2 linked regions of the Oryzias latipes genome follow. The protein of the gene in region 1 interacts with the protein of each later gene in a pairwise test. Links are inferred from orthologs where the notes say so. Each region holds a gene or a part of one and is shown in the gene's direction. Other genes may lie near its edges.

Region 1 (4,282 bases):
GTTTGTATGTACAGCCCGCGACCGGAAGGGCGTTCAGGACGCGGAAGCTCGAAATTCTGATCTGCACCATTGACTGTAGACCGGGAGGAGCCGGCGCACGCCAGAGATGTCTGCAACACTTACAGTTAACGGGATCCAGAAGGAATGAGACCTGAAGAATTTAAAGACAGGATCGGGGCGCGACAACCCGAGTCAGTTCAGCAATCTGATGGAGGGGAAATGATCACTGGGTTCACCAGCTGCAATAGTTAAACCCATGTTCATAAAAACATTTTTTCTATGGGACCTTCAGACACGGATTCAGAGCAGGAATCAGGAACAGCCAATTCTGGCTTTTTGTGCTCGAATAGAGCTTACCTGTACAGGCTTACTAAGGACAGGTAAGGCACAGGTAAAGGTACCTGTACCTGAGGTAGACATAAGCCGAGCCTTAGCAGTACCATACATGACGCCAACCTCAGAGGACTGATAGCGGCACTATCACCTCGAGTCAAAAACAAAACAATCATTGTTGACCAATCGACTGCTGAATGAATCGATAGAGACGGCCTCTAGTTGGAGGGAACCCTGTTCCCAGAAGACTCCGTCTGACAGGAAACTCATGAGAGGAACGCAGGAAGCTACAACCTCAGAACCAGAAGAACCAGAGCTGGGTCGGTTCTAGAGGTCCAAGACAAACACCGAAACTCTGAGAGAACGTTCCTGAACACAATAATGGTTTGAACAGTTTGAAAGAACTTTTGCTTCAATGGATACAATTATTTAATAAACATTGTTAGATATAAATTATTGTTTTAATATTAAAAAGCAGAAGCAAAAGCAAATAAACGCAGTTAGTTACATCAAGAAATCTGATTAAAACATCTAAATATAAAAGGGAGTACACACACGCACGCACGCACGCACACACCCACCCACCCACACCCATACACACACACACAGTAAACCAGCAAGTCTAACTTGGGTAAACCATCAGGTGCAACCCGAAAAAATCAGCAGGTGTAACTGTAACCCGGGTAAAGGTGTATCCGAGTAAATTAGCAGGTTAACCCGGGTAAATTAGCAGGTGTAAGTAACCCGAGTAAACCATCAGGTGTAACCCGGGCAAATCATCAGATGTAGCCCGGGTAAGTCAGCAGGTGTAGCCCGGGTAAATCAGCAGGTTTGACCCGGTGCGGCTGTCATTGATTCCGCTCGATCATCATGTTGTCGTTGGTTGAGCTAGCGCGGCTCCTTAACCCCTCGCGCGGGTTTCATGGTCGCTTTATGATCGCATCTTTAGGACACATTTGGTAATAAATTCATGTCCAACCGACAGTCAGAGGATCTAAACCGCCTACCTGAGTCTCCTGAGCTCGACATGATGAACACAGAGCTAACCGGCAGATGCTGATGCAACAAGAACGTGCCCGGAAGCAGACGGAACCGGAACTAATGCAAGCGGACCTGTTAGCGAGGGGGACGCTAAAGACTGACGGCCCACAACAAGCGGAAGTTTGTTTACATGAGAAAAAGTGGGCTCGAGGCCACAGAAGCGGCTCCTCTCTGCTCCGATCGCCCGGTCAGGAGAATGTCTTGCATGAAGGACTACGTGGACAGAGTGAGCCGCGTTTATGAGCGCTACACGGAGTACGTGAGGAGGAACCCCGCGGCCACGGCGCAGCTGGAGAACACCGTCCGGACTCTGTCCTACCTGATCGCAGGTGAGCCGCGGCTCAGCAGCAGCTTCCGCGGTACCCTTCAATGACCGAGCTGCTTCTAAAGGACACTTTTATTCCGAATCCGCAGGTCGATTTGCTGATTGTCATGAAATATCGGAATTAGGTGAGTTGCTTAGTGCAAAAAAGTCTGCACGTGTGCGCATGCGCGTTGAATGTTTTTTTATTTTGAGGATTTGAGTGAATTCTGTTTTATTACAATGATGAAGGTCTGAAGAAAACTGCTCACATTTAAAAGCTCAGGAAAAAAAACTGTATGTGGATTCAGGAAATGTTTCAGAGAAAAGAAAAAGTCTCCCTGCAGAAAAGCTGCAATTCAAAAATAGCGAGTATATTTGCAAAATAATCGCATTATTTATTTATAATTAGATCACAGTCATTGTAATACATTATTTAAATGTGTGAAACAGCTGATATTGTACTATAGCTTGTAGTTATTTTTTGTTTTGATTTAGTTTAATCTAATGTCTTAGCTAATTAACTAAAACTGTAATCTGAAACAAAGTTGAATAAACGAGCATTTACTGATAAAACTGCAGTATTTTTTAGTGTCCAAATAGAAGGAAGAACAATGACAGACACAGCTGGAAGTGTCTACAGGGCTGAAAAAGTGTCACAAATATCAAAGCTCTGAAAAATGCTTTAGCTGAACGTTTATTCTTCACTAGGAAAGAGTTTGTAAAGAATACATTCTATTTAAGTTTGTACACTACATTCAGTTGTATAAATAAAATCTCCAAAAACGGCAAAAGTAAAAGTACGATAAAAGAACCTCCTGAATGTTTGGGAACCAGAGCTGAAAGCTGCTTCTGGAAAACGTTTATGTTTCTGTTCAGAAACACAGAAGAAGATCTGAAATAAAAATCCCACAAAGAACAGAACATGTTAGCTTTATGACACCAGCAGGGATGGATGGATGATGGATGGATGCATGGATGGATGATGGATGGATGGATGATGGATGGATGCATGGATGGATGATGATGGATGGATGCATGGATGGATGGATGATGGATGGATGGATGGATGATGGATGGATGGATGGATGATGGATGGATGCATGGATGGATGGATGATGGATGGATGGATGGATGATAGATGGATGGATGATAGATGGATGGTGGATGGATGAAGGAAGAAGGTTGGATGATGGATGGGTGAAGGATGGATGGATCATGGATGGATGGATGGATGGATGGAGGATGGATGGATGGATGATGGATGGATGCATGGATGGATGGATGGATGGATGATGGATGGATGGATGGATGATAGATGGATGGATGATAGATGGATGGTGGATGGATGAAGGATGAAGGTTGGATGATGGATGGGTGAAGGATGGATGGATGATGGATGGATGGATGGATGGAGGATGGATGGATGGATGCATGGATGGATGGATGGATGATGGATGGATTGATGGATGGATGGATGATAGATGGATCATGGATGGATGAAGGATGAAGGTTGGAGGTTGGATGGGAGAAGGATGGATGGATGATGGATGGATGGATGGATGGATGATATATGGATGATGGTTAGATGGATGGATGATAGATGGATGGATGATAGATGGATGGTGGATGGATGGATGATGGAGGATGGATGGATGCATGGATGGATGGATGAAGGATGAAAGTTGGATGATGGATGGATGGGTGAAGGATGTAAGTTGGATGATGGAGGGATGGATGAAGGATGATGGATGGATGATTGATGGATGATGGATGGATGGATGAAGGTGGATGGATGGATGATGGATGGATGGATGATAGATGGATGATGGAGGGATCGATGATGGATGATGGAGGGATGGATGATGGATGGATGATGATCGATGGATGACAGATGGATGATGGAGGGATGGATGATGGATAGATGGTGGATGGATGGATGGATGGATGATAGATGGATGGTGGATGGATGAAGGATGAAGGTTGGATGATGGATGGGTGAAGGATGGATGGATGATAGATGGATTGATGGATGGATGGAAGATGGATGGATGCATGGATGGATGGATGGATGGAAGATGGATGGATGCATGGATGGATGGATGGATTGATGAATGGATGGATGATAGATGGATGGATGATAAATGGATCGTGGATGGATGAAGGGTGAAGGTTGGAGGTTGGATGGGTGAAGGATGGATGGATGATGATGGATAGATGGATGGATGATAGATGGATGGATGATAGATGGATGGATGATGGAGGATGGATGGATGCATGGATGGATGATGGATGGATGATAGATGGATGGATGAAGGATGAAAGTTGGATGATGGATGGATGGATGGATGCATGGATGAAAGTTGGATGATGGAGGGATGGATGAAGGATGATGGATGGATGGATGGATAATGGATGATGGATGATAGATGGATGATGGATGGATGGATGGATGGATGGATGATGGATGGATGATGGATGGATGATGGATGGATGGATGAAGGTGGATGGATGGATGATGGATGGATGGATGATAGATGGATGATGGAGGGATCGATGATGGATGATGGAGGGATGGATGATGGATGGATGATGATGGATGGATGA
Region 2 (4,066 bases), on another chromosome or scaffold:
GTTAAAAATTGTATTTAGGAGATTCATACTTTGGTGCAACAACTCTTCTCAGGCATAATAGTTAAATGGTGGTTTTAAACGCCATGCTCTGGTTGTACCCACAAAAAATGTGGCAAATCTTCTGTACCTATAAGAAAAATCTTCTATCGCATCTTTTTTTTTTTTTGGTGCCTCCCGGTGCTGCCAGACAGCTGAGAGCATGGACTCTCCTACAGGGGTCAGTGTCTGCTCCAAGCATCAGATAGGTGCCTCATGATCAGCATGACACTTTTCACTACTACTGATTGGAATGTTCGTGTGCTGCAGACTGACTTCCAACTGTTGTGCTGCCAAACCATGTTGCAGTGTTTGGAATCACACCTGTCTGCACCCTTTAATGCTTTAATGTCCAAAACCAAGCAGGAGCCGTAACGTCCCACTTTAATGTTTAGATAACTACTGTGTGACTATTAAACCATTCATTGATCAAATGTATTTTAACATTATTTATATAATGTTTCAGGTATTAATATTGACAGAATCATACCAGTCCTATATTTTTCTAAAGATAACTTTTGACAGCAGAAAAGCAAGTTCTTTTCAAAATAAAATACATCCTGTATCAACTGAGGTCCTCTTGCTGCTGTTGCAGTTTTACTTGCAACTATATACGTTTAAGAACTGTAGGACAGCTGAAGATAAGAATATATGATTTAAATTTATTAAATAAAAAAACAGTTCTAACGGTAGATTAAACCTTTAAGCATCATTTTGCCAATATTTATCTGACGTTTGCATCTTGGAGGAGTGGTCAAGCTCCCAAAGCCTCTTTGTAGTTTCATGACAGCAATAGTTTAAAAATAAGACAGTTTTCTATGCTAATTTAAAATTTTGAGAGTGCCAATAAACCCATTTATTGCTAAATGCTAAAAAGAACTTAATATACAGATTACATTAAAATCTCTTTTTTAAAAAGGTGTATAGATATATATTTTTTTTACTTCAAGCACATTTTGAAGACAAATATTTCCGAAAAAGACTCACTTAAGTTGCAGAGCATAAAACTGTGCCACTGAACTTTTGATTGTTACGTTTTTAAGTTGATGAAACGGTCGGTGGTCACGAAAATGAGGGACAAAGCGTCACATGTTGATCCTCCTGCATGTGATCCGCAGAGAAAAGCTGTTATGCCTACTCACGCCACCAGGTGGTGCCAGATTTCGGTATGGGCTTGTGACGTAGAGTATGTGCGACGTTTTTTATAGCCAGAACGTCAATTTTGTGAGACAAAGCTGTCTTAGCATTATGGCGTCCGGAGGAGAAGAGGTGTCCGGTGGAGTAGACGCAGAACTGGACGAGTTACTGGACAGTAAGTTCGTCAGGAAGGAATATTAGGTTCACCCTTTTACGTGTCTGTCTGTTGCTAGGAAGATTTCGCTGCTTGGACACTTCTGATGACCGTGTATAAGCTTCAGGTGCTCGGTAGCAGTGACAGTTACCAAAGTATCGCTGACTGACAGCTCGCACGGGCTTCAAAATAAAGCCAGTTTAAGCCGTTTTCAAATGTTTTTGGATATTAATTGTTTAAAAAAAAGTGGATTATAGAGATATAGTTTATAGAAAATGTTAAAGAGGTGTTGTTATTTTTTCAATATTACAATATTGTCAAAATTTTCAGGAACATTTTATTGTTGTTTTTTTCCTTGTTGATTTATAAATACTTCTAATATGTCATCTGTGGTTGCTTTGTGTTACTTTTATAGTTTTGTCTTCTGCTGTATTCTTAAATGTTATTGTTCAGGTCTAGTTTTAAAATAGAAATTATTGACAAATAAGATAGATAGATATCTTAACTTATACTAGGGATGTAAAAGAAAGATACAGATGTTCATCAAAAAGGGATCAAGCACAGAGAATCGCAGTAGAATTGGTTGAAAAACCACAGATACAAACAAGTGTGGGTAAAAATGTGTTAAACTGTTCAGGAAGTTATAAATTCTTCTGATAACCATTTTTCTCACATCACATAAAACAATACATGAATAAATTAATATGACACCTTTTTATTTAAGAAACGAAGCAGCCTACAATGCAGGTTTAAATATTCATTGAATGAATAATAAATATTCAGATTGTATTTGTTTAGTCAAAAGAATTGGACTTTATCCTGTCGCCACAAAGTTAGTTGAACCTTTTATGCATCGATTCATGGACCAAATATTGAGATGCGTCTACTTACTTATCATTTTGTCAGCTTGACCTCTTCACTGCTGCTGCATTTTATGTTTATTATCTGATCAAAAGTAAAACAGACTGACCATCCAAACAGAAACTAAACAATTACTGAGCTGAAAGTATTGCTTTTTTTTTTAAGGCAATCGATCAAATATTTCATATATTGCTTGGATAATAAATGCCTACTGCTGTGTCTTTTTCCTTTAGGCGCTTTGGATGACTTTGACAAAGCCTCCTCTCCTCCGGCCCCTGAAGCTGCAGCAGCCTCTTCCTCAGCCAGCAGTGGTGCAGAGAAGGTCTGTGTCTGCTTCTGTTCATTAGGATTCAGCTGCCTTCTGCTTGGACTGAAAGACCCCATCAATAGTACGATCTTCACAAGTCTTCCATTTCTGCCTGTAGCCCCCCCTGCTTGAGGACTGCAAACTCTTTGAGAGTCTCTTTGAGGGGGACATGGCGACCCAGGCCAGGGACGAGTGGGAGAAGGCCATGTCCGAGCTGGCCCAGGAGGAGCCAGAACTGCTGCAGCACTTCCAGAAACTGTCAGAGGCAGCAGGCAAAGTCGGTAAGAGGAGTTATTTGTTGTGAATCTTTGTTATACTGAATGTGTCGGTCTTGCAGTCTAAGTTGCGTGTTTGCTCCAAACAGGGACAGACACAGCTTCCCAGCAGGAGTTCACTTCCTGTCTGAAGGATACCCTCCGTGGCCTGGCGAAGAATGCAGACAACCTCCAAGTTGGCTCCTTAGACGTAAAGGAATATTGGTGTAAAGCTTTTGAAGGAAAATAATGACAATTGTTTTGTTTTACCCAGTCTTCAGGTCTAGCTGGAGATGACCTGGTTAAGGCTCTTGAGGGTCTTGGGTTGGATGAGGGTGGGGAAGGGGGTGGAGACGATGGGAACATCCTCCCCGTCATGCAGTCCATCATGCAGAACCTGCTCTCTAAAGAAGTGCTGTATCCTTCTCTCAAAGAAATCACCACTAAGGTCTGCAGATGTTTCCTCTGAACCCATCAGACTCTGAATCCACTCTTCCAGCTTTGACCGTTGACGTCTCACCTTCACAGTACCCAGAGTGGCTGCAAGCAAACAAGCCCAGCTTAAGTGCAGAGGACTACCGCCGCTACGAACAGCAATCCAAAGTCATGGGAGATATCTGCAAGCTCTTTGAGGCCGAGGAACAGGGAGTAGAAAACAAAGAGAGAACTTTTGAGAGCATCATGGACCGGATGCAGCAGGTGATGCAGCTTTTTTCTTTTGGGACAATATTTACAATTGATTTGTTTATTTAAATTTGCTTTTTATGTTTTCTGTTTTGACATCATCCACATTATTCTGAATCATAGTAAAAGTCACAACACATCACTTTTTCGACGATCCAGCTGCAGGATGTCCATCATTTATGGATGTGATGGTTGCAAAGCTCTTTTAATATCTTTAGGGACTGTTGATGGCTAAACTGTTTCCCTGTAAAACTGATTTTAAAAAGGTCACTGAACACACACTGTTATTGCCGTTACGGCTAACAAGCAGCATTTAAAAGTTTAGATATTGTAAGCTCAAAAAATACCCTTCAAACACAAATTTCCCAGTTATTATCTTCTTACAGAGATAATAACTACATTATAATTATATTATAATTTATACTATAAATTAAGTTATTAATGTAAGCTTATTAAAAATGCGCCTTTAAGCATATCCATGGACAAAAAATGTTGTGTTTATTAGTTCAAACATGCAAGGTTTTTGGTTTTTTGGACAGGAACTCAACTGTTTTGTGTTTAATTATCTCCTTATAGCTGCAGGATCTAGGCCAGCCACCCAAGGAATTGGCAGGAGATGTGGTAAGTTTGGCT

Evidence for each region.
Region 2: the proteins of pex16 (region 1) and pex19 interact in binary tests that used the Homo sapiens proteins (3 or more experiments, as listed by UniProt). The link is inferred for Oryzias latipes from reciprocal best matches to the Homo sapiens genes PEX16 and PEX19.

The regions. Positions count from the first base shown.
Region 1 is NC_019861.2:661,546-665,827, forward strand, and holds the start of pex16 (peroxisomal biogenesis factor 16), read left to right. Parts: upstream 1-1,477; 5' UTR 1,478-1,504; coding exon 1,505-1,703; intron 1,704-1,788; coding exon 1,789-1,824; intron 1,825-4,282. Other genes in the region: cars (cysteine--tRNA ligase, cytoplasmic), read right to left, coding at 1,341-1,362. UniProt on the Homo sapiens protein: Required for peroxisome membrane biogenesis. May play a role in early stages of peroxisome assembly. Can recruit other peroxisomal proteins, such as PEX3 and PMP34, to de novo peroxisomes derived from the endoplasmic reticulum (ER).
Region 2 is NC_019875.2:3,245,576-3,249,641, reverse strand, and holds the start of pex19 (peroxisomal biogenesis factor 19), read left to right. Parts: upstream 1-1,256; 5' UTR 1,257-1,284; coding exon 1,285-1,348; intron 1,349-2,421; coding exon 2,422-2,510; intron 2,511-2,613; coding exon 2,614-2,776; intron 2,777-2,859; coding exon 2,860-2,960; intron 2,961-3,023; coding exon 3,024-3,197; intron 3,198-3,277; coding exon 3,278-3,448; intron 3,449-4,009; coding exon 4,010-4,054; intron 4,055-4,066. UniProt on the Homo sapiens protein: Necessary for early peroxisomal biogenesis. Acts both as a cytosolic chaperone and as an import receptor for peroxisomal membrane proteins (PMPs).